Linked DNA regions of Oreochromis niloticus. The protein of the gene in region 3 interacts with the protein of the main gene of each other region in a pairwise test. Links are inferred from orthologs where the notes say so. Each region holds a gene or a part of one and is shown on either strand. Other genes may lie near its edges.

Evidence for each region.
Region 1: the proteins of fam161a (region 3) and lamin-A interact in binary tests that used the Homo sapiens proteins (3 or more experiments, as listed by UniProt). The link is inferred for Oreochromis niloticus from reciprocal best matches to the Homo sapiens genes FAM161A and LMNA.
Region 2: the proteins of fam161a (region 3) and cep63 interact in binary tests that used the Homo sapiens proteins (3 or more experiments, as listed by UniProt). The two-hybrid records come from large-scale screens. The link is inferred for Oreochromis niloticus from reciprocal best matches to the Homo sapiens genes FAM161A and CEP63.
Region 4: the proteins of fam161a (region 3) and ppfia1 interact in binary tests that used the Homo sapiens proteins (3 or more experiments, as listed by UniProt). The link is inferred for Oreochromis niloticus from reciprocal best matches to the Homo sapiens genes FAM161A and PPFIA1.

Annotation. Positions count from the first base shown.
Region 1 is NC_031976.2:36,001,663-36,008,649, reverse strand, and holds the start of lamin-A, read right to left. Parts: upstream 3,022-6,987; 5' UTR 2,843-3,021; intron 1-2,842.
Region 2 is NC_031986.2:32,690,700-32,697,885, forward strand, and holds the start of cep63 (centrosomal protein of 63 kDa), read left to right. Parts: upstream 1-4,177; 5' UTR 4,178-4,319; intron 4,320-4,373; exon of another isoform or gene 4,374-4,473; coding exon 4,474-4,514; intron 4,515-4,602; coding exon 4,603-4,780; intron 4,781-6,014; coding exon 6,015-6,110; intron 6,111-6,234; coding exon 6,235-6,324; intron 6,325-6,413; coding exon 6,414-6,527; intron 6,528-6,606; coding exon 6,607-6,756; exon of another isoform or gene 6,757-6,770; intron 6,771-7,044; coding exon 7,045-7,178; intron 7,179-7,186. Other genes in the region: im:7152348 (RING finger protein 223), read right to left, coding at 1,537-1,582, 1,666-1,770, 2,021-2,364. UniProt on the Homo sapiens protein: Required for normal spindle assembly.
Region 3 is NC_031971.2:5,234,823-5,241,994, forward strand, and holds the start of fam161a (protein FAM161A), read right to left. Parts: upstream 3,023-7,172; 5' UTR 2,509-3,022; coding exon 2,353-2,508; intron 670-2,352; coding exon 401-669; intron 1-400. Other genes in the region: cct4 (T-complex protein 1 subunit delta), read right to left, coding at 3,335-3,349, 3,498-3,611, 3,936-4,170, 4,564-4,694, 4,825-4,935, 5,167-5,263, 5,372-5,511, 5,779-5,911 and 4 more. UniProt on the Homo sapiens protein: Involved in ciliogenesis.
Region 4 is NC_031965.2:3,503,900-3,511,511, reverse strand, and holds the start of ppfia1 (liprin-alpha-1), read right to left. Parts: upstream 3,018-7,612; 5' UTR 1,915-3,017; intron 427-1,914; coding exon 157-426; intron 1-156. UniProt on the Homo sapiens protein: May regulate the disassembly of focal adhesions. May localize receptor-like tyrosine phosphatases type 2A at specific sites on the plasma membrane, possibly regulating their interaction with the extracellular environment and their association with substrates.

The DNA.
Region 1 (6,987 bases), on a different chromosome or scaffold from region 3:
ATGGAAATCAAATGTGTGATAAGCTGCAGGATTCAAACACAAGTGTAACTTATAAATACATGTTCATACTTTTATTCCACAATCAGAGAGAAAGAAACAGAGAGAGAGTGCAGGACAGACAGACAGGTGACAGTCTCAGGTGTATACACTGCTACAAAACAGCACAAGAGAAGGAGGATTTAGTGTTTGTGTTATTACGAGTGCTAAACAAGAAGAGTTCCCAGATGGTGCAGTGGACACATGTGTGACTCCAGTGATTAAAGCATCTTTCTTTCAGCTTAACGAGTGAACCGTCAGCTCGTTCAAACACACGTTAAAGTCCGTTTGGCTCGACACCACCGAACAGAGGCAGCAATATAACATAGCTAACATTAACAGTGCAGTGAATCCTGCGTGTGCCGTGATATTCAGGACTGCAAACCGAGCAGCATCACTGACTTTCAGCTTGTTGTGTTTGTGGATATATGACTGACTTTAATTATCCACAAAATCATCAGATTCTCTGTAAGATTAAGGTCGACTATCTAACGGCGTATAAAGTAAAGGCTTTAAAACAAAGTAAATGCTGAAAGTACAAACATCGCTAATGTCACATAACTTTGCCGGCATGTGGCCAACAGTAATGTTTTAATGTTCCTCATTATTAAACATTTGCACATAAATAAGTGACATAATATTCAGAACTTACTTTTGAAAGTTTACTCTTTGGCCGCTCCACTTCTTTGAAGTGTCTCCCAGTGCACTTGTTAGCATGTTTTGGTTCGTGCAATTGGTCCGTCCGGGTATTGTCTCCCCAGAAACATTTCCGTTGTCTTTTTTCCTATTTCCGTTGTGCTTTGTGTGCTTTTGCAGCGTTTTTCTTTTTGCAGCGTTTTTCTTTTTGCAGCATTTTTCTTTTTGCAGCATTTTTCTTTTTGCAGCGTTTTTCTTTTTGCAGCGTTTTTCTTTTTGCAAGTGTTTTTCTTTTTGCAAGTGTTTTTCTTTTTGCAGCGTTTTTCTTTTTGCAGCATTTTTCTTTTTGCAAGTGTTTTTCTTTTTGTAGCATTTTTCTTTTTGCAGCATTTTTCTTTTTGCAAGTGTTTTCTGAAGTTGCAGTCCGTTTGGCCTCTCAGGGCCACCGTATAAAACTGTATGTAACCATGAAAAAAGTGTTGCCATGTCCACCAGGACAGTATAGTATAGACAGTATAGTATAAACAGTAGTATAGACTCCTTCACATAGTGGACATTGAGTTGTTGTGTGGGGCACCAGTAGTCCATGTGTGTTGCTGTAACAGTAGTTCATGTTTAGAATAAAAAGTCCCAGCTCACTGACTTGATCGGGGCAATAGTGCCTAAAAGGTTGCATAATTTTGCTGAGAGATCTTTTACTTTGTGGTAATCTTAGACGAGTAGTTTTATGGACAAAAACCATCAGGTCATTCAGTGTTCCCTTAGTGCTAATGTGTAAGAGATGTTGGTGCACTATAACTGAAGTAATGTCCTTAAAGTCATATTCTTTTATTGTCATGACTCTATTTGAAGCTTTTTTTTATTTTTGTATGATACCTGATTTATATGGAATATGGCTGAAGTAAACTAAAGTCTAAAATCAGTCATTTATTTAATAGTAATTTAACATTATATAATTCACATATAAAACTATGAATTGTAATTTTAAATGGTTTAAAAGCATGTAGAATAGCATATGTAAGCAAGTATATTTCTCCCTTTTTTTTCTTTTTTTTTTAATGAAGAAGCAAAGACAAAAAGGAAAAAAAGAAAAAGAAACAGCGCAGGGTTCGGTGGTTGAATCATCCGTCCCCACCAATGCCAAAACCAAATCTACGCCCTTGTCTGTTGGCCCCGTTTCTATGCGCAGACAGCGGAGGCTTTCAAGTACCTCTGTGTTCATCCTGATGCAGAGAACGGCACAGGAACTGATTCCTGCCACTAGCCATCAAACGTTACAACTACCCTCTACTACAACTGGACTATTTAGACTCGCCACATCTTGTGTATATTGTCCGTAGTATCATTAAACTTTAGAGTATTTATTTTAACTAATTGGACCTTATTGGAATGTGGCCCTTTTAAAACGTATTTTTATATATATTGTTTACATTTTTCTAGCTTCATATTTTATATCATATTGACATTTTAATTTATCCCTCCACCTCCACCCACACACCGTGATTAATAAAGTAGTCTGATTCTGACTGATTTCACAGCGTGGATTTTGGGGGATTTCCCCGGTTCACGTCGAGAGACAAATAACAAAACTGAACAATCAATATTGACTTCGGTTACCGGTAAACCTGTGTGGTTTCTGTTTTCTGAGCATCAGTATGAGTGCAGATTTTCCGGAAATCCGGGGTGATCAACAGGTTCAGTAATACTCAAACCAGGACAGCTGACACAAACCTCATATTTATTCCTATTTTCTGGAGTATGATGTCATCATTGGGCGAAGCGCCTGCTGGGTGTCGCGCACCGCTCTGCTGCCGCGTGATTGGCTCATTCTAATGTGGTTTCTAACAAAGCGCTCACTCGGTGTACATGCATGCTTTCGTCACGAATTATGAGGATGCTCTCACTCTGTGCCTCTCTGGCGCCCCCTGCTACCACTCAGTACATATGACATAAATAGAACCCCACAGTGCACAGCCTTCCACTGAAGTCATTCACAAGCACAGCACATCCACGCCATCCACTGGCTGACACACTGAATGGAAACTGTCAGTGTGGGTCAAAGAGTTCATGAACTGATTCAACTCTCTGCCTGCGCCCTGTTAGAAACTATAAGAAGAAGAATAAATGCATTTCATCTTCCAGCTGAAACACACTCCGCTCTCCGTCCTACCTTCGCCTTCTTCTGCCTTTTCTTCTGCAGCGCTTTAAAACGCGTCTCCCGTCTCTGCGCTCACCGGTGACCTTTCCAAATGTCGGCAGTCCCAGTTAATCACGATATCATCCGCTGGGACGCGTTTCCTTTGAACAAATCGGAGAGCCGCGGAGCTCCGAGTCGAGCCAACCCGAGTCAGCAGCCACCTGCAGATCCACACACTTGATTAGGCTGCCAATCTCCGCTAATTACAATGCAGCCTGCAGGCGCCACCTGGCGACCATGATTAACGCTTCGGTAGTGACAGTATTTTTAGCTGGTGAGGGTTTCAGTCGAGCAGGTGATGTTTGGAGAAAATAAACCAAATGTGTGTAAGGGGTGACTATGGAACAGGGGTGTGTCCAGAGAGCCAGTATGAGGGGTGGCACAGCCCCCTCATGGTGCCCCCCACTAAGGTAACTAAAGTAGAGTAGTGTTGAGAGCATGGCTACTTTGTTTCTGTATGTTATGATACTTTCCTCCTCTAATCCAATATATTTTGGATAAATTCCTTGCACTGTGTGCTCCCTGCCACGTATTTTAATGATTTTAAACTATGATTCTGCTAATACATGATGCTAGGTTATTATAGACAAAGCTACCGAGCGTTGTATGTAATTAAAACAGTCAAGCTGCAACAACAAAGTGATATACATGGTTTTATTATAGTACTTTAAGTACATTTTGAAATGATGTGTATACTAGTATTTAAATGAGGACATGACTTTTACTTGAGTCATGTTTCTTGTTCCTGGAATAGCCCATGCAAACATCGCTCACAGAGCACGGATGGGTTTTTTCTTCTCCTCCTGCTGAACAGCTGATGATAGCACCACTGAGTTCAGGTTAGACAGGATGATGTGAGTCTGCAGGATGTTGTGCTTTATGTTTGTGTTTAAGTGCTGTCTTAATCTCTGAATTCATCTCCAACAGTGGCACGAGCAAAATAGAAAGTGCTTGTACTGTAGTTATGCAGTGATATAAGAGTGATGTAAACTCAATTTACTGCAAGAGGCCAGATGGTTGCGGTGCCAGTGAAAAAACAAGTTAACCCTCTGGTTTTCAAATAAATGTACACTTTAAAGTAATCACTTTGCTGCTGTGTATCTGAACATGTTACTTTTTGTGTGGTTCACATTTTTACTGTCAGGCATCATATTAAGCCTGTTCAGACCCAAAAAGCCAAGATTAAGTTGCTGTAAGTTTAAAGCTGCAGTAATTAAAATATTAGATGGCAAATCAAATGTTTAATACCTCAAAATCTTTTTTTTGTTTTTGTTTCAAAACTTGTGCTGCTCTGAAATGACCCTGGTTCTTTTTCCACACAGGATCCCACTGAAGCTTGTTTTGGACTGAAGCTGACGCTGATGCTCAGGTAAAATTATTTCACATCACACCTCATACATCTGTTACTACAGCAGTTAGCAATACACTTTTCAGTCAGTGGCGTTTAATGAATTAAATAACTGTGGTTTTCATTTCACTTGGGACCCCCCCGGAGAGCCCTCAGGGACCCCCCCAGCTCCATGGACCCCACTTTGCTAGTGATTGATACACTGACCTGTGCCGGGCTTTCCATGAATTGATAATTTAATTAAAGTGGCATCCAGGGAGCATCATACAACCCTTCCTCAAGGCAACTATAGCAGCACGACTGCCATTATCAAGCTGTACAGATGGCCCAGTTGAATGATGCAGTCAGTTTAATTCCCTGCGATCCCAAACTCGTTCTATATACAAACAAAAAAACACAAATTAAAAACAACTCAAGTGTGCTGCTGAAAGATATTCTACAGAGGTCTTGTTGGATTTGCTTATCATTATGTAACGGCTGAGCATGAATTTTACATGACCTATGTTACCGAGCTGTAAATGGTTTGTTTACATCCGTAATGTTCATAAATGATGGAATAGGACTCTGGGTCACTTGAACGCATCGTGAGCTTGGAGAAAATAACGCACACTGTGATGTAGACTTCTCTGGTACTGTACCTATGGGGTAGTATATTAATTATATTAATACAAATAAATTCATTATATATAATATATTTGGATCCAGAAAGCACTAAAAATCTTTTTTTAATTAATAAAATATTCAACAGTTTCCAGTTTAAAAGTACTTGTTAGGTTAAATGGAAGTAGAATGGAAGAGTTTTGATTTACTTTAATAAAAGTATTAGTGCTAAAATTTACAACACTTTTATTAATAAGATTAGCAAGAATTGAGGTGAGGGGGCAAAAGGTGGGTTGCATCCTGGGAAGGTCATCAGTCCATCGCAGACAAAACACACACCTGCACATCCACGTTCGAATCATCAGCAAACCTGAAAAGCACGTCTTTGGACTGAGGAAGGAAACTCCTGCAGCCACAAGGCGAACATGCAAACCGTACACAGAAAGGCCCCACCCGACCGGGAGGTTCACATGAGGACAGACAAGATGACAGCGTTAACCACACCATAATCATACTGCTCCATAATTAAATACGTCCAAAATAAGATCATAAAAAAACTGATCAACAGGAGATCATAAAAAAACTGCCACATATCAAACATCCATAAATGTCTTATGATATAAGAAAGTGTTCAAGTTTCCTCTTTGATTTGCTTGATCACCTCTGTTAACTATCAAAGATCCATAGGAAAAATCCAGCATTTAGGGAGATGGAAGCCAGTGAGTTGCTTTGTATGATTCTTTATTTTCTTGGACTGTGCCACTCATGCAGTCACTCGTCTCATTCTGTGTTGCAGCTTCCTTCATGCTTCCTCTAAGCTCATTTTCTTCTGATTGGCTGGCACTCTCAAAAAAATAAAGCAAACATCAGGTGATTTGGGCTTCTGTGCTCACCGCCTGAGCTACCTGCCTGACAGGTCCATATGAGGGGTATTCACTCTCTGAGACCTGAAATGAAAGAATGGAGAAAATATCTGAAAGTGAGTGTGTAGAGCAGTCTGAGCTTTGGGCTCACAGGGATTATTTATCCATACATTTACCTATGCTTCATATCTATTACTGTAGATATGAAACATGGCTTACATACCTTGCAATATAAAGGTAACCGTTGTGATGATTTGGTGCTATATAAATAAAACTGAATATGAGCATCCTCCTTATATCAGTATCTATGCGACAGAAAATAAGGAAATGCATAATAGATCCCCTTTAAATTTCATAGACTTTACATTTTACCCTTGAATAAATGTTAAAGCCATCCGATGTGAGACATTTTATTTGTTCAAACCATCATAATTTTTAATGAAATTTGACCTAGTTTGTGACTCTGCCCTTCTGCAGATTAAAAAGTACAATCTTTCATTGTGAACAGTAAAAGCAATATCCAAATCACCCAGCTGTCTGCAATACATTCAATAAAATGAGACATGAATGCCAAGAATAACGAGAAGGCCAAGCAGGACTCCTGAGTTCAAAGCGCTCTGAGATCACTGCCATACGGGAAGCGAGCGGTGAGGTGAGCCTTACTCATCACTAGGCGTGTCACTAGCTGTACAGCATCAATATGATTAGACACACAGATGGGGGGAGGGGAGAGGCAAGAGGGAAGGGGGTGGAAATAGGGAAAAGTGAGGCAGAGAGATGACCTAATACCCGTAAAAAGAAATGAAGTCATACTAACCTGACTCATATTCCCAGCTGACACCAGCTCTCCCAATCACAGCATCCCCAGCGTGTTCGTTGACAGAGGTGTGTATGTGTGTGCCAGTCAACAGCTTCATTATGCATGTAAGCATTTCACAGCAGGTGAGGCGACTGTACGATACTGTGCGCTTTTGTGATTGCAGATAGAAATAAAGTCCGCTGTGTACACAGGAAGGCTGAAACACTCTTCAGGAAACTGATGATTTTTATAATTGATTATTCATTATCATGCAAAATTTGATGATGTGTTCTTTACTGATTATAAATTGTAACGATCGTTGGGTTCTGGACAATTTGTTGGACTAAACAAACAATTTTAGTGAAGCTGTGGAAGGCTAAATGATTAACTCTTAATAAAAATAACTGACATATGAATCAATAATAATTTTGTTGGCTACTTGTGTGTCACACTGCTCGCTGAATAAATCCCCGAGCACTGCAAAAAATTAAAAATAGCAGAAAAGAAC
Region 2 (7,186 bases), on a different chromosome or scaffold from region 3:
TCTTTCTAGGCCACCTGTGCAGGTAATAATGTAGTTTTTCTATCACAAGAATGAAAGTTGATCTTTAATTTGTTTAGTTATTTCGTACTTTTCCGTACTGCAAGTGTTTGTGTGGATTCAGATACTCAAACAGGAACGTACTATTGTTTGCAATGCAGTACGGAGGAAATGATCTTACACCATGACGTTGTTGCAAAGCTTCCCCACTGGAGCTGAAAATATTTTTGTGGCTCATGGTTAAATAACCGCCTCATTAATCAGTCTGACCAAAGAAACCTGCAGATGCTTATGCGGGCCTTCAGTTTTTAGGTTGGTGTAATTTACCACAGTATTTAATTCTGATGCTAGGCCTAAATTATCCTCCAGGAAAAGTGTATTTTTATATTTTAGCATTCCAACTCCGACTGAAGTCAATTATGTGCATTATCCCACCACTGCTGAGACAATCTGGGAGTTGTTTCCTGTTCTGTTCAGCTTTAATCTTGGGGATTACCACCATCAGGCCTGCACGGAGAGCCAGTAAATACATTGCAAAACTGAAACTGGTTCGTTGCCATATACACAATCATGCGTGTGCGTGTTTGTTTGTTGCTGCCTTCCCGATACATTCCTGTCCAGCCTGCCCCCGTGGCTGCCAGCTTATTTTGAACTTGGAGGCAGCTTCCTGTTTGGCAGTAATTTAAACGTGGGAATATGGTATCCAAAGACCGAATAACACACCGCCTGCCAATATATGACTAAGAGTACGCAGGCTAACAGTTGAGACCAAACCAGTGTGACAACTAACAGATTTTCAGCTCCATCCAAACAGCACTGACCTTAATGTGACTGAGACACCAAACACATCATAGTCAACGTATCTTCTTTAAAATATGTCGGAGGGGGTTTAACATGGACATAAAGTGGAACAAAAAGAAAAGAAAGTGATGATCCAGTTTGCAGATATCATTGAACGTGGAATATGTGCCAGATGCTCGGTGAATGGAGTTTTATAATCCACTTTCATGGTTGAATGAGTCTTTTGTGGCAGGTTTTTGTTGTGCGTCTTCTCCACAAGAATAATATTCAGAAATCCCCTCCTGGCTTCACTTTTTTCACTCACTTAAATACTTCATGTGTCATAAATGGTGCATGCAGTAAAGGAGGAAAACTCATGATTCTTTCAGATGTCAATAAAACCCAATGGACACCTGTTTGAAAAATAGTTTTATTAAATACTTTATGTCCTAGCTATCATAAATACAGAAAACAATAAGTTATGATGGCTATTCAGGAGCTGAAATGGAGAGGGGACCATCTGTTCTGAGGGGGTCTAGGTCTACGGGTGTTAGCCCCTCTGGGACAGCTGAACTAAATCCCACAGCAACGGCTGGGAGAATTAATCCTAGAATAAATAATGGGGAGACGGAGCACCTTTGGCTGAGGACAAAACTGTGTCCTGACAGGATCACAAATGAATCCTCCTCCCCCAGCGACCACAGCTTCCCTTCAAAGTTGAGTCTTCTCGTCCTGAGAGCGGCCACTTGTCAGTTACTTTTAAAAAGTCTCTTCTGTTGAAAGTCTGCGCCAGGATTTCATTTCCCTTTAAGATGAAACAAAAAGAAAAATATAAGTGATCATTTTTACTAATAATCTGTAAATAAAAGCTACAAACTCAGAACGTACACATTGCTGCCAGGCACGATTCTCTCCTGGTGTTGCTTCGTCAGACTGAACCTCCTGAAGAACGTGGGCAGTTTGAGCTTCGCTCTGGCGGATCTCGAGGAAATGCTGAAAAGAGAAAAGGCTCTCGTGTCAGACTGGGCTTTGGGAAAAATGCTGTAGAGCCGAGGCGCTAATGAGAAGCTGTGTGGACAAATGGACTGCTCGGCACTAATGTGTAAAGGACTCGGTATGACAGGAATTTCATATTCAGCACTGCCTCCAAAGAGGTTTTGTTCTCATTTTCTGCCATTTAAAACATTTTCAGTCCTCAACTTCCACACTAGTAATGTTTAAAGACTCAAAATGATAAACCCACCATTCTCCTTGTAACTGTTTAGCTTCTATTCTCTCCTGTGCAGCTGTTTGCTTCTCTCCCTCCTCCTCTTCCTCTTCTTCTCTTATGTCCACATCCTCCGGTATCTGGTCCCACAGCTCGCTGTTAACCCACAGAGCTTCTCGAAGACCTCGACCTCGGCCTATGCAGGTCACCCGGCGACACAAAGGGCAGCCCACGGTGAGCAGACCGTTCCTCTCCGTTGACATCCTCTCCAGACACGAATCGCAGAAGGTGTGCCTGCAGTGGAGCACCCGGGGGATCCTCTCCTCCCGGGAGTAGGGCAACAGGCAGACGCTACAGTCGCCATCCTCACAGAGAACCATGGTCAACCCTGACAACTTGTGGACTTAAGGATTTTTCTACAAAATCTAAATTTTTAATGGGTGTGAATAGGCTTTCTGCGAGTCCAGTGTTTAGAAACAATGGTGAAGATGATGGCTCCAGCAGATCCCAAGCTCAACAAAGTGACTCCCTAATACATTAAAAAACATTTTTATTAGCTATTAGAAGCATTGTTGCATCAAATTTAATTTAAATAAACGTTAATCTGAATTATTGTAGTATTGATGTTTTTTAATCCAGACAATGAACCTGATTAGAAAGGACACCAATATACCAAAATACACTACCATCTACTATCTTATGCTGAGTTGAAAGAAAAATGTTTCAATAATAATAATAATAAAGAGTGTACTTACAGCTGGCCTTTGCGTGTAATTTATTGTCCGTCTTTGGCTGCACAGCTCAGCCTCTCTGCAGTGAATGGTGTCAGAAAGCCGGCTCGTCTGCCTCCTGTTAGGAGTGTCTGTTGGGTTTGTGGGGGCGGAACAGAAACGTCTCCAGCTCTTTCTCTTTCTCACGGCCCCATACCCACCCAGCATAACAGCTGGGGAAGCAGAGCGGAGGGGACGCTCTTTGTTCAGTGTTTGACGACAGGCAGGTGGAGAAACGGGGAAATGACGCAACGGGAGGCGGGTGTAGTCACACAGAAAAAGTAATCTAGTTAGCTTTAACATGAAAAACATTAAAAACATCCTTATGTTTCAAGATAAATTGAAAAGGTTTGATATTCTTCAGGAATAATAGAAAAGGAGGGCTCGTCCGGGATTTGAACCCGGGACCTCTCGCACCCAAAGCGAGAATCATACCCCTAGACCAACGAGCCGGTTGCAAAGAGTTCTGTGGTAGCGTTTTTATATGTTGACATATCCATGACTTGACTGTATTTAATCAACAATCATTGCGTCACTATAAGAGAATATAATCACAACCTCAATATAAGGACTAACGGATGTCAGCAAATTCCTGAAGACTATTTGGACGGAATCGACGTCAGAAATATTTTTCCTTCCAAAAATACAACTGACCACAAAGAGTAGGGACCCTACACTATTTTGTTGGTTTCTACCGTGACTGGCACAGCATATAAATCACCAGTTCTGAGACCGTCCTACTTTGGCAAACCGTCCTATACGTAGGATAATTTGACAGTGACTTCTGACAAACCGTAACCCTAACCATAACCCTAATCATAACCATAACAAATATTCACATTGGCCTAAAAAAATGAAGTAAATTTGGGGATTGCGTTGTTTCCGCATGCGCAGAAACAACGGGTAGACTGTTTCGTGTGGTAGGATGGATTCCCAGAACACCGGAACACGACCACAAGACAATTCAGAAGTGAAAACGCGCATTAGCTTGAAAACTGGTAGCAGTGCTGACCACTTACGTAGACTCCACAGTCGACTCTACAAAAATTCACTGCAGAAGTTTGAAGTAAATATGTCAACAGTCCTCCGGTACAAAAATTGGGCTCGTCCGGGATTTGAACCCGGGACCTCTCGCACCCGAAGCGAGAATCATACCCCTAGACCAACGAGCCACGTGTTCATAGGATGTCTGACAATATCCTTTAATCGTCGATAAAACCAACATGATGACATATATTATGATATCATTTGTTACAAAGCGTTAAAGGTAACAGGGAATTTCCAAACACGAACTTACATAGCTAGACGTGTGGATAACAAGTCTCTTTTGATTATTTTAAACCACTTGCTTCCTGTGCTCTGGAGTTACGTACAGCGTGTTGACATCACATGCCGGGGTGGAGTTACCGCCTTACCTCAGGAAGCGCGCTGTTCGGTTGTGCAGTGTAGTCCAGCTAGTGATGTAAACAAATAAAGTTGGATGAGTTGAAACGGACCAGCCACAGCCAGCAGCTAACGTGAGCTAACTATGCTGGAAGCAGAAACCACCTCCGTGTAGCAGTCAGGTCAGCCTTGGTTTAGCTCGCTGTGTATTATGGGTTGCTAGTAACGTTTATGGTTGCTAAGTTATAGTGAACTTCTTGCGTAGGGAAAGGGCACGTGAAGCGACCGCAAAGCCAGTCCGCTTTAAGTTACTAACAGGACTTTACTTTAAACCAGATGGAGGCTTTTCTGGGGTCGATGCACAACCCTGATCTGAGGTAACTTGCACTGCGCTTAAAGAACTAACTTGGGCAATGAGCATTTACAGAAATTACATCCTTTTCGTTATTTGGCTTTTCCTTTCAGCTCAGTCCTTTCATCGTGTGAGCCGGAGCTTCAGGAACTGATGCGACAAATTGACATCATGATCAACGATCAGAAGAGGAAGTGGGAAGATGAGACTTGTGCCTTGGAGCTCAGGCTGAAAAGTAGAGAAGAGGAACTTTTAAACTCAAGGAGCACAATTGAACGGAGGGAACTGGAGGTGAAATAGAAGAGCCTAAGAGTTTATTCTAAACAGGAGCAAAGTTCTAAAAGATAAATAATGATGTGTACACGTGTTTATCCAGTGTTGGTACTCCTCCCTCGATCCTGTTAGTGATGTTCATGGACAGGATGTCAAAGTGTAGCCGGTGTGAGGAGGTGTCCATTGTGGGAACCTCAAAATCACATCCCTGTGTTGTGCAAATTATCATATCAGCGAAACTTCAAGATATAAATATAAAAGGACATACGTATTAACATTAATGTTTATGGGACATTAACAGGTAAAAGGTGCTGCTAGGTGTGCACATATACTTTGTGGCAGAGTGCAGTGAGGTGTGTTTAGTCTTGATCAGTATGTGTGGGTCTGACCAAAGTAGATGAATTAAAGAGTCTGATAGCAGCAGACTCGCAGACAGTCAGGTTAAAAGAATCTCCAGGTTGATGAGCTTCATGCCAACTACAGATTCGGCCTTCCTGATGAGGTTATTCAATCAGTTTGCATCCAACAGATATAGTTCTTCATCACAGCATGACCATCAGCATGCACTGGAGCGGTTTGCAGCCTGGATGAGGGCCTGCACCTACAAGTCTGAGGCTATGATCTTAGTCACAAGTGAAGGGAACGTGGAGTGTGAGATGCCTGCAATCTCCTAAAGTGCGTGCTGAAATCTGGGGAATGACCTAACAAGTGTGGTGGTAGATGCAAGCAGCTGAAGTGAGTCTGGGCTTAGCGGTAGGATTAGGAGCTTGGACATCTGGAGGGAGCTCAGAGTCGAAGCACTGCTTCTCGCTCTTAAAAAGAGCAAGTTGAGGTGGCCTCTAATCAGGACACTTGCTCCCTTTTTAAGGTTTCCCAGCGGCGTTGCTTTGTCTGCTGCCGCCACAAATCAATGTCAGATGAGGGAAAGAAAAATGGATGTTGTTGATATGATTGAATCAGCCTTTATTTAAGTAAAACTAGATTTGGATTCTTTACTTTTGTTGATGATTTGACGATGACAAAATTTGTAGATTGTAAACCTGCAATTTTTGTGGGCACCAACGATGAAGTGGGGTGGTGCATCAAGGCTCAGTGTGAATAAATAAAGAGCATTTTGAGTAGAGACCAAAAATAAAAAAATATGCAGCTGGTAATGAGCATAGCCTCAATATAAGATAGTTGCTAACACAGCTCATAAATTGTGTGCTCATATTAACTCTTTCCAACACCATTACTGTACCCATGACTGTAGATTGGATTACTCCGCAAGCAGCTTGAAGATGTCCAGACTGGCCGACAAGAGTTAGCCGCCAAGTATGAGCAGCAACTGCACAAACTCCGTGAAGAGGTGTGAAAACTCGTCTGTTACAAATCTTTTCTGCTGTTGCTTGGGCAGAAGTTTACAGTTTTTCTGTTTGTACTCACTCTCCCGCATAATTTCAAATATAGTAAGTGCATTTTTTTTCCTGCAGTTGGATAAGTTAAAGAGAAGTTACCACAAGCTTCAGCGCAAACACCTCAAGGACGCTAACGCAGGAGTGAAAGAGACAGACCTCCAGAAGGTGAACCCTGATATCACCCCAGTCATGCCATTGGATTGCTGCCGTCTGCTGGGTATGTGAGGTATAATCATGCTCCCCTCTCTCTGCAGGAATATCATCAGCGCTCTCTGGAGTGGGAGCAGCACCGCACCCAGAGCCAGCAGGAGCTCACAGCCCTGGAGGCCGAGAATAAGAGCTTGAAAGATGAGCTCTCACACATAAAAGTAAGTTCAGTGACTTCAGCATGTAAAGAAAGCAGAGGCTTGTCTGTTTTATTCACCACGTGTTTTCTGTTGTTTCCAGTCCCAGTGGGCAGCGCATCAAGTGGAGAGGGAGCACAGGGATTGCTGTTTGGAGGTGCAGCGCCTGCGCTCTCAGCTGGAAAAAGCTCAGAGAAGTCTGCACACACAGGAGCTGGAACTGGAGCGTCTCCGACCACTTGAGAGTTGGCAGGTAGGTTCAGAAGCCTGGGGAAGGTGATAGGACGGAAGATTTTGAATTAAACAACACTCACAGCAAGTTTCTCCGACATGTATTAAGCCTGTAAGAAAAGTTAAATGAAAAAGTCTTTAGTCTACCGATCAACTTTATCAGTGTCGAGAAACTGAGCTTTAACATTTAATCCAGTGCCCATAAACCTCTTAATGTTGATTATTCAGTTAAGCATTTTCAAGCTCAAAGTTCCTCATAGGTGCCAGGTTAGAATATGTTTTAATCAGCTGAGGATCCGCTGTTTTGCAGGTGCTTTCTGAGGAATGGGAGGAGCTGGACTCCCAGGATGCATTTGTGCGGCGAGCCAGTCTTGAGCGCCAAAGACTCCGTAACGAAACAGCCAGATTCAACCAAGCGCTGCAAGCTAAAGATCAAGTCATTCGGTGGGTGT
Region 3 (7,172 bases):
AAAAATCATCAATAATAATACCAATTATTCCATTTATTAGTTTTGTTTAAGAAAATGCTGTGAAAAATGCCAATCACAATTTCACAATTTCTCAAAGCTTATTTTGTCCATTCAGCAGCCTAGAATCTAAACAAATAAATTACAACTATATAAAAGCCTCATAAAGTTCTTAAAATTGTCAAAAGTGTCAATATCACTGGTTTATTGTTGGATACAAAAGTTGTGTGCTTTTCTCTAATCAGAAAAGGACTATAGTCATAGGTTTATAGCTTCACTATTGTTTTGTGGGGGGGGGGGGGGGGGGGTGTCCGTTTAGTGCCGTTCCAAAAATTCTTTACATACAGAAAGACAATGAACACATGTTTAGTTCCTTACATAATATTGAACAAAATCCACCCACCTGTGGCTTCCATCCATCACTGTCATATCTAATGGCTCCATGGAGTTGAGCTGCAGCTTTTGGCGATACATGCTCTCCAGCTCAGCCATGGTGTGCAGGTGGGCCTTCTTTAGTTCCTCCAGCTTGCTGTAGTACTCCTCATTGGAGAAGAAGATTTGACTGAGGTCGAGGCGATCTCCTGCTGCTCTGTAGTTGTTTATCAGGAAAGGGCCTCCTTTCCCAGTGCAGTCCTCGTCACAGTAATCAGAGCCTGAGTCCTCATACTCCATCTGAAATAGTCACAACAATCTCATACTGCAATCAGCAGCCATTTTATATCTAAATATTATAAGTGACCTAAATACACTGCACTTATACACTGCCCTGCGACAGACTGGTGACCTGTCCAGGGTGTACCACACCTCTCGCCCTATGTCAACATGGATAGGCTCCAGCCTCCCTGCAACCTTGCATAGGAGGAAGATGGATGGATATCCTGTTCCAGTGTTGGATGCTTATATTAAATATGATAGTTAATAATGAGTCATAATAACAATAATGAGGTCAGGTAATGTACAAGTAACCTCTGTGAGCCAAATGAGATCTTTCCATTCTCTTGTTTTATTTTTGACTCTGTATGATGTCAGTGAAAGGGGATATCCTTATCTCACCAACACTCTGGCTGTGGGTTCAGATGCTTCTTCCAGCTGCTGTTTATCTCTTCAATTTGCAAACGGCAGCAAATCATGAGAAAGTTTGCTGGCTTATTAGGGAGAGGAGAGGAGCTAAAACAGCTTGTTTCAGACAGAGGATGGACTGAAGGGCTGTATCAAGTCTCAGTATAAGATGAATAGGTAATATCTGAGTGTGAATCATGCAAAGCTATTCTAGAAGAGTCCAAGAGGCAAAATACAGAGGTGGAAATGATCAGAATAGGTCATCATTATATAACTTTTTGAAACAATATATGTTTGGATTCACTATATTAAATGTTGCATGGAATAAATATACTAATTGTGAAGCTGTCACATTGATCCATTTCATGTTCCTACATCTTCAAACATAATGGCTTAACCACCACTCATTGAGCACTCCTCCAGGACTAAGCCTATTATGCTGTCACAGCAGTGACACTGACCATATGCTGAGGCATGACAGGCAGACACACAATTTACATCAGGTGTCTGCCTTCACAGCTTTTTACTAAATTATCAAGGGCTTTACTGAAACAACTGCAACAAGATCTTTGATGGAAGAACAGCAGAAGATGAATGATCTTAGGATTATACACTAAATGTGACATTTGATAATCTAGCCGAGATGGAAGTCCACAAATAGTATGCTAAACAAATTAAACAGATCAAATCCCTTCCACCACACAGGCTGACCTGAAACTGTCAACAGCCTGTTGGAACCAGACCAGAAACAGTCTGTGGCTTACTTCACAAAGTAAAGTCTGGATAATAATGGAGAAAAAACCTTTAAATACAAACAGCCGATTGTACTCTGTTCAGACAGTTTAAACTTAATATTTAAAATACAATGTCTCAAATTGTAATATGCCAAAGATCCCAGTAACAATAAATGTAAAGGTCTGTATAGAATGACCGGGGGTCTATCTATGTTAAATTACTATTACTAAATTATTATTATTATTATTACTATTAAAAATAAATTTTAACAATTGTCGGCGCAATAAATTACATTTTTTTCGCAGGATTAAAGTACTTACAGTGACTTAGTCTGCATTTTTTTCTGCAGCATGTAATTCACTTTCTGTGTGGATTTCCTCCACCACTGAGGAAATGGAAACATCTAAATTAACTAACTGTAAATTAACCAGAAAGCTACGGTTCGTGTGTCAGTAAAAGGGGGCTGGCAGGCTGATTATTAGGAGATTTTTAAACAAAAGGCAGATGTTGTAATTGATATTCGCAATCTGTACACCACCATTAAAACTCAGTAAAAATTACCTCTTTCTCGTAGTCCCGGTTGTCAACGTGACCTGTAACCGTGCACGGCAGGACTCTCTCACGTTCATACGAAGCTAACGGCGCTTTGGTGTGCGGGTCTACCGGCGTTTTCAAACATGAAGTAACCAAAACGTTTTTCCGGTGGGCATTTGCCATGTTTTTGTAAATGTTGCTTTTTATTTATTTATTTTTTAAGTTGCCTCACAAAATCACTTGTAGTAAGAGTACTCAGTCGAGATGACAAACTCGCTCTCTATCCACATCAAGGTAGCAAGTGAAATCCTTAGCAACAGAGAAGCTTGGTTGGGAGGGAAGTGACGGAGAGTGGCAGGAAATGAAAAGCCGTGGGCTCCACACAAATTAAAAGCACCGGAATTTTTGAAAAGAATAGTTGAACAAAAAAATGTTGTAATTGCCTTAATGTATTGATTAATACTATGACATAAGTTATGGATGTGGGAAAATGAATCCTCCAGAAGTACCCTTACTCACACAATTGCAGTACACCAAAATAAATTTTAAGTCTAAAGATACGGTTAAATCTTAAGTACTTTGCATCTGTGATGCAGGTTACTTATACAAATCAGCTAGAACACTACATGATTATTTTTTAGACTTATATGTTCTTGTCTGCTTTGCCTGATGGATATTTAAAAATAATGCCTTTTATTTGATTCAGTGGTGAAATTTAGCAGTTGTTGTTATTCTTAACTGTAATCTTCAGTGTGCAAGTTTGCTGCTTAGACATATGACAGGTACAGGTATCTGCAATGCTCTGATTATACAGATTAACAGACACTAGACAAAAGGCCAGGATGTAAAGGTTCAACTTGCTTTAAAAGATATAATCACACACACATAATTTTTTATTAAATTATGCAACGTAACAACTACAGTGGAAATCTGAACAGAATGGTGTTAACAGAGTCCTCTGATCCCTTGCAGTGTGAGCAGGCTTAGTGACAAAACTCAGTGGACAGACCTATCGGGTGTTCACCTGCAACAAGAAAACACATTTCCACTGATTTGAACTGGAATCTAATATACCCAGATTTTGCAAAAAGCCAAAGGTAGTGTACAACAACTGATCTTAAAATAATTTAACTTTAAATTTTAAAAAAAAAAGAAAAAGGATTAAGTCTTACCACATCATCAATCTTCAGGATGCTACGGACCGTCTCAGTGGCCAGTGTCAGTGCACTGATGGAGACCAGTAAAGGCTGCACCACCAGTTCCTCAAGGATGTTGGAGATCCCTCCCTGTTGCACATACAAGAAATTGTTTGGTGTGTAAATTAAATGTTCTTAGAGTAAAATTAAGTGTCTTTTGTGTCTAACTAATGGTTCACATTTCCAAATTCATTTTACACTGACATTCAACAGGAAAAAAGAAAATTAATGCACTAAAAAACAAAACAACCCACAAAAAACAAACAAGACAATAGTTTTATTGGAGAGCAACTAGAGAACATTTTTATTGGATAAGTAGCTTAAATATCTACTTCTGTTAGCAGTACCTTATCCACAAAGTTAGGCTATGCTAACTTTAAAAAAATAAATAAATTTATAAATTAAAAGATCAACCTTGCGAACATTGATGCCAGCCATCTTGTCTCCCTGTGCGTGTCTGTTACGGAGCTCCGTCACAGTGGAGATGGGGTTCAGGCCAGCATTCTCGGCAAGCGTCGATGGGATCACCTCCAGGGCATCAGCGTACGCCCGCACACAATAGGCCTCCATGCCAGCCAGTGTGCGCGAGTACTCTGCCAGACGCACAGCCAGCTCAATCTCTGGAGCACCACCTCCAGCAATGAGAGCCCTGAGAGACAGAGAAGGCAAAAATGCAAAAGCCATTGGATCTGATCCTATTACTGAGAGAAATTGGGATCAAAATAAAATAATAACAACAAAAATACGTTTTCGAAAAAAGAATACATCTGTTTGAATGCTCTCCATCAAAGTTGCTGAAGCAACCCATTGCGAAAATAATGGCGAGCTTCCCTAAATACTGTTCCTCTGTTTGTTACGCTCCTGCAGGATGAGTCAGTGCAAAAGCGCCTTTGTCAGAGGGCAATCGTATCTGTAACTGTATCTAAAGGTGTTCTTGAACAGTCCAACTTTGCCATGTGAGCTAGCATGGAGGGGTATGTTTTCAGCTTTGTTAAGAATTTTTTTAACAATGAAATTTACTCTTCAGAAATAATTGACTGACCTCTTCTTGACCAGGCAGCGGATGACACACAGAGCATCATGGATGGAGCGCTCTGCCTCCTCAATCACAAGCTTGTTGGAGCCGCGCACCACAATGCTCACTGTCTTCCCAGGGCTTGTGCAGCCTGTGATCTGCAAAAAGTGGCAAGCGAGGCACAGAGTTGTTTCAGCTCATTTTTTCCTCAGCTCCAAGTGAGACATTCTGTGTCCTTTAACTCAAAAATAATCAACTGAGTTTCTCTGAGCGAAGACTCAACTGTACCTTGACTAGTTTGCCGGACCCATCCAGATTGACTTCCTCTGCTAGCTCTGCAGTGCCAAGCATCTCTGGAGTGAAGTGGTCGATGTGGGCTATGGGCTTGGTGCCAATAGTCTAAAGAAGGGGTGGGGGCTTCAGTTAAATGGTGTGGAATGCTAAACAGAGTTGTCAAAACTAAATACTTGCTCACAAGTTGAAAGTGTACAAATCTTGTTAACTGATGATTAGTTTACTATAAAAACAATTTTAAGTATAAAGTGCTGCCAAATGTGATGTAGATCTATATATGTCCATTAAATACTGTGTGAAAAACAGAGAAGCCGTGGTTCATTTGACAATACTAACCTTGCAAATGAACTCAATATCCTCTCTCTCAATCTCCTTCACCACCATGATCTTCATTTTGTTGAGGAAGTGCAGGGCGAGGTCACTAAGAGCATCTCTGTTACAGGACAGTTAGTTGTTAGTGTGACAGATGTTTCGTGTATCAGAAGAAGACTGAAATGCATAGTAGAGTGTATTTTTCTCATGTCCTTCGCTCCCTGCATACCTGAGGATGGATTTCTGGATGAGCAGCACGTTGCAGCCAGCCTTCTTAATCTGTTTTACCAAGTTGAGGATGTAAGCACGCTCCTCCCGCAGCACGCGGTCCATTTGGGCGTAGTCTGACACCACGATCTGGTTGTCCATCTACATGCCCCACAAAAACCCAACAGAAGGTTAGAAAAAGAAGGCTTTTCCTGAAGGAATACATAATGGTTCACAAGAACAGCACTGACAGTGTTTTATATATACTGAAAACAATGTCTTCTCTTCTATATGACAGGAAAAGGAACAACGATAGCAGCTGAAGCAGTCAAAACTGTAGCAGCAGCTCATTGTTAAAATCTGAAGCTGAGCATAAAAAATAAGGCAGAAAGGGTTTTCTTGTCAGCAGATATTCATCAAGCGACTCACATCAGTCTTGGGAGGGGACAGACAGAACTGAATAAGGCCAATTTTGGCCTTTTCCACTCGGGTCACACCAGTGTTGGCAACTCTCTGGGTCAGCACAAGGCCGTCTATCAGCTCACAGTCATCAATGGTGCCTCTAAACACACAACACACACATGTGATTAAGCCTAGCAAAAATCAGAAGAAATTGCTTAAATAAGAGTAGAAAAACAAACAAACAAGCAAGCAAAAACACTCACCCAAGCTTCTTGATGATTTTGATGTCCTGTAGGTCGACACTAGTGGCTGTGGCTGGGTCAATGACTCGCATAACAGCATCCACACTCATGGGTGCCAGCAGGTTTGAATACTGTGACACCACCTTGGAGCACAGTGACGTGGTGGCACTGTTGAGCAGTGTCTCACGGTCACTCAGCTGCACTGGCTGGCTCATGCCCGTTAGCACCTCCACGCCCTTATCGACTGCCTTTTGGAACGACTCCGAAATGATAGTGGGGTGGATACCTGGCAGGTGAGACAAGTAATTAAACGGGCTCAATTGTGCTCAATTAAAGGTTCATATTGTTATTCTTCAACTTTTCCAGATACACAGCTCAAAATGATCCTTATTTATCTTGTATTGGGCTTTAGTGCCATCTTAAGTTCATCTACTGTGCAAAATAAGCCTTGCAAAGTAAAGGGAGTCAACATTTCTACACTCCATCTCCAGTGCGTGAATTCAAAATGCACATAAAAACAAACTACAAGATACAAAAAAGATGCAAATAATTCTACTATAAGTTACTAATAAATATGCTAACTTTCAAATTTTTTTTACTCTTAAAAAAAAGAGAGAGAGAAAAAAAAGCTGTAGCATCACTTTTGATTTTTCAGTCCCCTGAAGCACTCACCTTTCTGCAGCAGCTTGGAGCAGGCATCCAGCAGCGCTCCAGCTATCACCACCACAGAGGTGGTGCCATCACCAGCCTCAATATCTTGGGCTTTGGACAGTTCCACCAGCTGAAACACATTTGGTTCAGGCCATATGAGTTAATCACCGAATTAACAACAGTGTTTGGTGTAAACTGTTGAAAGAAAATTTTAACAAAGCTTAAAATTATGCTTAGAAAGCGAGCACTCATAGGTCAGTTTTAGTTGCAAAGCTTCTGTGCAGGCTGCTGTAACGTACCATTTTGGCAGCGGGGTGGAGCACCTGCATCTGCTTCAGGATGGTGGCCCCATCATTGGTAATGGTTACATCACCCTTCTCATCCTGGATCTGAAACCAAAAACAACAGCCATCGCTTAGATACAGGTGTGATGAGGGACCTTGGTAAAGTCAGCGAAAAGTCAAATCTGTTTACTGACCATCTTGTCCATGCCTTTGGGGCCCAGGCTTGTTCTGATGGCATCTGCAA
Region 4 (7,612 bases), on a different chromosome or scaffold from region 3:
TCCCCAAACCAAACCACTCTCTGTACCATTTCTTCCAGTAAAGGCTTAGTCTCAGGCAGAAACTGTAGAATGGCAAACACTGAATTTCTTTAAGAATTAATCTACCTGGACTAAGAATAGGATTTTCCTTTAAGAAAAAAAGTCTCTCTCACTGACCTGTGGCAAAGCAGTGTTCAGCTGTCTCTGTAGTGAGTCCCTTTCATGGCTAACTTCATGCAGTTTGCTCTGGGTCAGGCCCAGATTCTCCTGAGTCTCTCTCAGGGTCTCAAGAAGACGATCTCGCTCTTCCAGCATAGACACCATCAACGACTCAAAGTGACCCTCTGAGTCAGATTGAAGTGGCGAACCAGAACCTCGACGGCCTCCTCCATTTCCACCACCAGGGCCTTCGGCCTCACTGATGGTGGGCATCACCTCGCACATCATCTGCAAAAATAAAGAGCAGGAGAAAACAGGAGAGACAAGGCCCTCCGTCACTGTCACGTCAATAAAGCAAAAAATTCACCCCTCATGGAGAAGTCATAACACCAATTACTAAGTGCTATGGATAATTTCCTTTTTACTTTCATTACTCTCTTTCGCTTATGATCCTAGCCAAGTTTTATAAAAACAAAGTTACAACTGTGTCATTTACATGTTTCAGAATGAGTATTTGGGCGTAGCTATGCAGGAAAGAAAGCTGTATATGCAATATTCATGCTAAGGCAAAGAGCTTGTGTTATGCAACAGAGGTCTGTGTGCTATTTTGTTAGGACATTACAGAGTCAAAAAGCATATTAACTTGTTAAAACTGAATACTAAAACTTCTTTGAAGAACACCAAAGAAAAACAAAACAAAACAAAAAAACCCCCCCACACAGATCCTATATCAACAAAATTATTAACACACTGAGATATAACATTAGACAGTGGGCAAGTCTCAAAGTCCTCATCAGGGGTAATTTAATCTCCATAGTTTAAATTAACCCTCACAGTAGCTTTTTGACTAACAAAAGGGACAACAAAGACCAAAATCAGTTGAATCTAGTTGACTTACTGTAATGGTTAACTAGTTTGTGCTGATAGTAGTCTATAGAAAAACAATTACGTTAACCCATTCTAGTTAAATTTACGAAAAAGCTGAGAAGGTCTGGGTAATAAAGCCGCTCTCCATATCAAGCGGCTCAAGTCCTGTAGACAGGCTCCCAGACAGACAAGCAGGAATCATGTGAGTTGGATTTAACCAACCTAAAAGGAACAACAACTTCCAATAGGGAACACGTAGCAGCTAGGTACACCAAAATCTCAAAAACACTTAACTGCACTTTCCTATAACTGAGGCGGACCATTCTTGATACATGCCAATTATTTAGAACAAATCTACCTACTAGACCCTTGCAAAGTGAAACGCAAAATCCAAACTAACGCTTTTTATTGAGGTCAAGCCCCTCTGGATAAACCATGTTTAAGAGGGGGATGGTCACATTGAGGATCTTTATAAAGGTAGTGACAGATGGCGGGGGGCACTACCTACCCTACCTACCTACCTACTGCACCATGCATCAAAAACTAAAGGATGACAAGTGGAAGTAGAGGACTTTGGCTGACTTGCAGAGGAGCGATTCTCGAAGCTTTTTCTTTTTTGCAGAGCGAAGATAAAGGCTAACAGGGTAGTAAATGAGGTATAGCAAACGATTGAGGGGGCCACCAATTGTCAAAGTAATTACAAATCTATTTAAAGTATTTTTGTATTTTGCATTTTGTAAATGATTATTTTTAATGAAGAACTAGGTCCCCATCAAGAGGATGGCTGGAAGCCGAAATGCATCGACGGTATAGTGCTTGCCCATTGTACTGCTATCAGATACGTCTGGGAGTTAGGTTAAACCCTACAATTGTTTTCTAAAGTTGTTTCGTGTTAAAGTTCTTTCTCACCTTCAAAGAATATTATTACTCCAAGTTCCTTCGTAAATCCAGGTTATGTTATGACGAAGTAAACGTCAACAAGTCCAGCTAACTCCAACTGTGGATTAGAGCCTTGTCAAGCTTTACAAGTATCCAGAGTCATTCAAAACAGAAATTCCATTCAGAGGCAGGGATGCATTAAGGCAGTGAAAGGGTCCTCTTGGTGGAAAAAAAAAAGATAATTTCAGAAAAGGCCTCAAAGCGAAACTCGCATAAAGTGAGCAGGGGGCAGTATTCCAAGTTTGACTGGCTAACTCTGCGCTAGCCAACAAGCACTAAGTAAGCTGGTGATTCGGTGATTGCATATCTGGATTCTGGAACGAAGCGTTCATTTTTGCATCTCAAAACGAACGACCATCCTCAGATATAAAGTTTGACTCATATATAACTAGTGAACATTAACTGATACAGTTAAGTGACGTGAAAAAAATAAGCAGCCGTAGTCGGTTTAGCTAATTTGAAACAGGACTCTTTGGCTTAAAGACAGTTTAAAGTCGACAACTAGCCAATGTTAGCTACTAGCCAGCTAGGAAGCTAATGTTTGCTGCTCTATTTTAGCTTAAAAACGTCAGGCAGTCATTGAAGCATTAACATTATTTATTATAAAAGTACATAACATGATAAAATCTATCATAAAAGTTTCTTACACTATCTAAAATGCTAAAATCCTGAAATGAGTCTTAAAAGCTCTGTTAAAAATTATTCATTTATCAAGTAGCGTTAGCATCAGCTAACGTTAGCTTCCCGTCGATTCCGTGGAGTCGCGTCACCACATCACGGCACCAGCTAGGAAACTTCCAGCTAACATTCAACGTTAGCAGCGTTTCAGTCTGTTTACGAAATCCAGACCGCTTATAAAAACATATATTCCCTTTGTTTCCGCCCGATTTCCCGGCGTTCTGTCAGTATTTCCACCAAAAAGGTCCGTTGGTCCGGTCCTTCCCTGTCGCCACTGCCTGCCAGCTTCGGCAGTCGGGACAGCCAATGGTGGGCTAAGTGTCGCTTGCACTTAGCCTGCCAGTCTACGGGAAGAGAGCGCTTCCCAGGTTGGCAACAGGAGGAAGTGGAGAAGTAGCAGTACGTTCAGTTCCTGTAGGGATATAAGCTTACACTCGTCGTGTATTGAAAAGACAGAGACAAAGCACGACTTTTCCATCAACAATACTGTTATTTCTTTACATTTACAGGTTACAATATCTCGGATGTATGTCTGTGAAGGTTCTCGGATGTCTCACCGTTCGGCTAATATCAAACAGGCTATTTTACCATAGTTTGTATTCTGATATGTTTTAAATACACATGTAACTTACATTTAACATTTAATATTGTATTTTTGTCTATGTTTTGCTTGTAGAACCAATAATGATGATAATAATAATAATAATAATAATAAATAATAATAATAATATAACGTAACTATGATTAAGAGGAACATTTAAGAGTTTGATTTAAAAGGCCCCGAGGTCATCTTAACCGAATTCAGCCATTATAATTTAAAATGTAACTTTTGGAAGAAGGTATCGAAGAGCCAAACGTTTTTGTTTTTTTTCCAAATAATTTCTTTAGTTCACTCTTTGGCCCACATTCAGTCGTTACTGATAAACCAAGCTCTCGCAATAAAGAACATTTACGCCCTCTTGTGACGGATTAACCCAACAAGTTTTGTATTCATTTATTTTGTCAATTTTGATGTGATATTTTGAGAATTTATTTTTTTACAGAAGCTCACTAGAAAATGTTTGAGTTATAACTTTAATGCATTTTAATAAAACTTTAATGCAATTTAATTTTAATGAACAATTTGACAGGTCTGAGGTTTAAAATATGGCAGTGAGTCCTTTTGTGATGTATAGTTTGACAGGTAAATGCAAGACAGACTACGTGTGTGAATAAGAGGGAGACAGGTGAAACTGACAAAAAGACATGAGGCTTAATTGGAGTTGGCAGAGCTGGAGATGTAGAGATTTTCATTGCACACCACAGAATCAATCTGTTCCATTCCAGGTCTGTACAAGGTTGGAATGGGGTACAAGAACATCAGTAAGGTGTTCTTGGTGAGGTGACAACTCAAGACCCTCGGTTTTCCAGTTGCAATTCCTTCATTATCAGTATCTCTTCTTCAAGATGTATCAACTCCAGTTGGAGTAGTATGACATGCCTTGTAGTCACCATTATTTAAAATAAACACAGGAAGCACAAATAAAAAGTAAAGATTGGCCAACAATGCTATATACTCCCTACCTCCACCCAGTGTTTTGGTGGCGGTATTGCAGAGCCTCTTGGGCATTAGAGTCAGAAACATGTTAGAAACAGGGTGGCTGTGTATTGGAGGATCATGGCTTAGGGGGAGAGGCAGCACACTGGAAATGAACTGGGAGTGTGAAGACATGCTGAGGTGGAGATGGGGTAGTGGTGGCTGTGGCTGTAGCAGTGGCAGCAGACCTGGGAGGGGGGCAGATAATGAATCAAACCCAATTAAAAAAGTGATGCAGTTCATTTGACCACTTGTGTCCCTTATAGGCTGAGAACTCCTTATAGTCCAAGATGGTCCAGAGACCCCTCCAGTCTCTGCTGACACTGTACAGGTAAAGCTGGTTCTCCATCCTCCTTCTGTCGGTGTTGTAGATGTTTTCAAAGTGTGGGTGACTGCTGGTTCCTTGTGTACTAAAAGTATATATGGGACTTTTAATACACAAGGAACTATTCCCAAACAAAGAAAATTAATGGATGGACATTTAAATCCAGATAGTTATCATCAAGTCACTTCACAAATTCAGGTAAAACAGGGCCATAAAGCAAGGACAAGAGGACAGTGTCATCAGAGAACTTGACTATAAATCTGTTCTCATAAGAAGTCCTGCAGCTGTTTGTGTACATAATAAAAATAAGTTGTGACAGAGCACATCACTGGGGTGAATCAGAGCTCGACACAATCCTGCAGGATTTGTCCACTAACGAGGACCTGTTGGACCCTTTGAGTAAGAACATTTAAAATCGGCATCGGGAACTGGTCTGGGAGGCCAGTCTCTCCCTCAGAATATGAGGCTGTATCTTATTACAAGCAGAGGAGAAGTCAGCAAACAGAAGTCATGCATGAGAACTGGGTTTTTCGAGGGGCTTCTAAAAGCACAACAAAAATTAAATTGTGGTTTTTTTTTTTTTAAAAAGAGTTTTACTTGACTGATAAGCAAATTGCAAAGAATCAAGTTTGCTATTATTGGAGGACACAATAATACTTTTTAAGATCTTTTCAAAGGTTTTCATTACAATTGATGTAATTGCAACTGCTCTGAAATCAGCTAATTCATTCAATATTTAGGAATAGGTATGATAGTGGATGTCTTCCAAATTGTGGGGATTTGTCCACTACCGATGCACCACTGGAAAAGTTAGGGTTAGAACCTGCTAAGCTAGTCAGTAGCAATGACTGCAAGATTTGGTACTGATCCAATAAATACAGGGCAGATACCAATACCGATACCATGCTTTTTAATAATAAAGGTGGATACATCATCAAATGGCTTAATCTGAATTAATTAGTTAAAACCCAGAACAGAAACAATAAAATGATCAAGTGTGTAGGACATGTACTTGTAGTTTAAATATGGTAATCATGCAGTATCCCTTTCACAATTAACACAAAAGGGTAGTTATATTCAATCAAATCTGAAGCATATTATATTTGGTATATTTGTTTCAATTCCACTAAATGTTTTTATTCAAATAACATGTTTCAGTGTGAGCATGCTTACTTGCTTGCCTAGTGCTTCTGAGTCACGTGATAGTACAACATCACAGCACAAGAGGGGAGAGGAGGAGCAAACTGTGGCTCTTCTGTGCTATGATACTTGAATGCAGTGGCAGACCAGACTGCCTCTATGATGACCACAGCGGTACATACAGAAAACCCCCCCAGAAACTATCAATCTGATTACACTTGTATTGATCAATACAATACAATACAACTTTATTTGTATAGCACATTTAAAACCAGAGGTAGCCAAAGTGCTTCACAAAATCCAATAAAACAGTAGCAAAGTACAAAGCAGATAAGCTAGCAGGTGGGAGGCATTGATTAACCAAGCATACAAGTACGCAGATAAGCAAGTAAGACTTAAAGATAAAATCGATAAAACAATATAAGCAAAAGAGAGGAAAAGGGGAGGGCAAGAAGGTACACTTAAAAGGCATGCTCTAGGAAGCCGGGAAGGCTAAACTAAAAAGATGGGTTTTCAATTGAGACTTGAAGACTTGAGACAGACACGCGAATAGCATGAGGGAGGAAGCGAAGTGAAGCGAAGGCACGGTCACCTCTGGTTTTCAGCCGTGACCTAGGTTGCACCAAGAGCAATTGGTCAGACGATGTCAGTGTTCTACTGGGAATATACACGCTGAGGAGCTCAATAAGGTAGCTAGGTGCGATATTATTTATGATTTTATAGGTAAGCAGTAGAATTTTGAAATCAATGCGGTATTTAATTGGAAGCCAATGGAGGCCAGTGAGAATTGGGGTGATAGACTCAAACCTTACAGTACCAGTTAGAAGGCAATCCACGGCATTTTGGACAAGTTGCAATCTGAAGGGCAGAATGAAGCCCAGTGTATAGGGAGTTGCAGTAGTCTAACCTGGATGTGACAAAGGCATGGATAAGCTTTTCTAGATTTTCATGTGGTAAGTATGGCTTGGCCTTAGAAATGAAATGAAGCTGATAGAAACAAGATTTAATAACAGAGGACACATGCTTGTCAAACATAAAGGAGCCATCCAGGTAAACACCCAAATTACTTGCGGAATCGGAAAGAAAATCAGCGAAGGGCCCGAGGACACCAGTTAGATGGGCTCTAGGGGTATTACTGTCAAAGATTACAATTTCCGTTTTCTTGTCATTTAGCATAAGGGAATTGCTCAGCAGCCAGTCTTTAACCTCACTTATACAATCAAAGAAGCGAAGCATCGATGAAGTATCATCCTCAGTCTATTCAAAATAAATTTGAATGTCATCCACGAAGCAATGATAAGAGAGTTTGTACTTTTCAATAATACGACCAAGGGGTAACATATATAGAGAAAACACCATAGGACCCAGCACAGACCCCTGAGGAACACTACAGGTAACAGGGGCAATGGAAGAGGAGTAGATACCCATGTTGACAGAGAAGGACTTCTCCGATAAGTAGGATTTAAACCAACTAAGGGCCATACCCATAATGCCAACCAGATGTTCAAGCCTCATTAAGAGGATATTATGGTCCACCAGATCAAAAGTAGAGGACAGGTCCAACAAAACTAAGACCGCGGGGCACCCAGAGTCAGTAATTAAAAGAAGATCATTGAAGACCCTCAAGAGTGCCGTTTCTGTACTATGGTGCAGTGTAAACCCAGATTGGAATTTATCCCAGATGTTATTCGCATTTAGATAGGTCTGAAGTTGTGATAGGACTATCTTCTCGAGGATTTTTGACAGGAGCGGAAGTTGCGAGATAGGTCTGTAATTAGTGAGGTTAGAGTGATCAAGGGAACGCTTTTTAAGAACAGGTTTCACTATGGCATGTTTAAAGGCAGCTGGAACACAACCCAGTGACAAAGAAAGATTGATTAGTGATAATATACAAGGCCCAATTACATTAAATCCCTCCTTAATAATGTGAGACTGGAGAATGTTGTGAA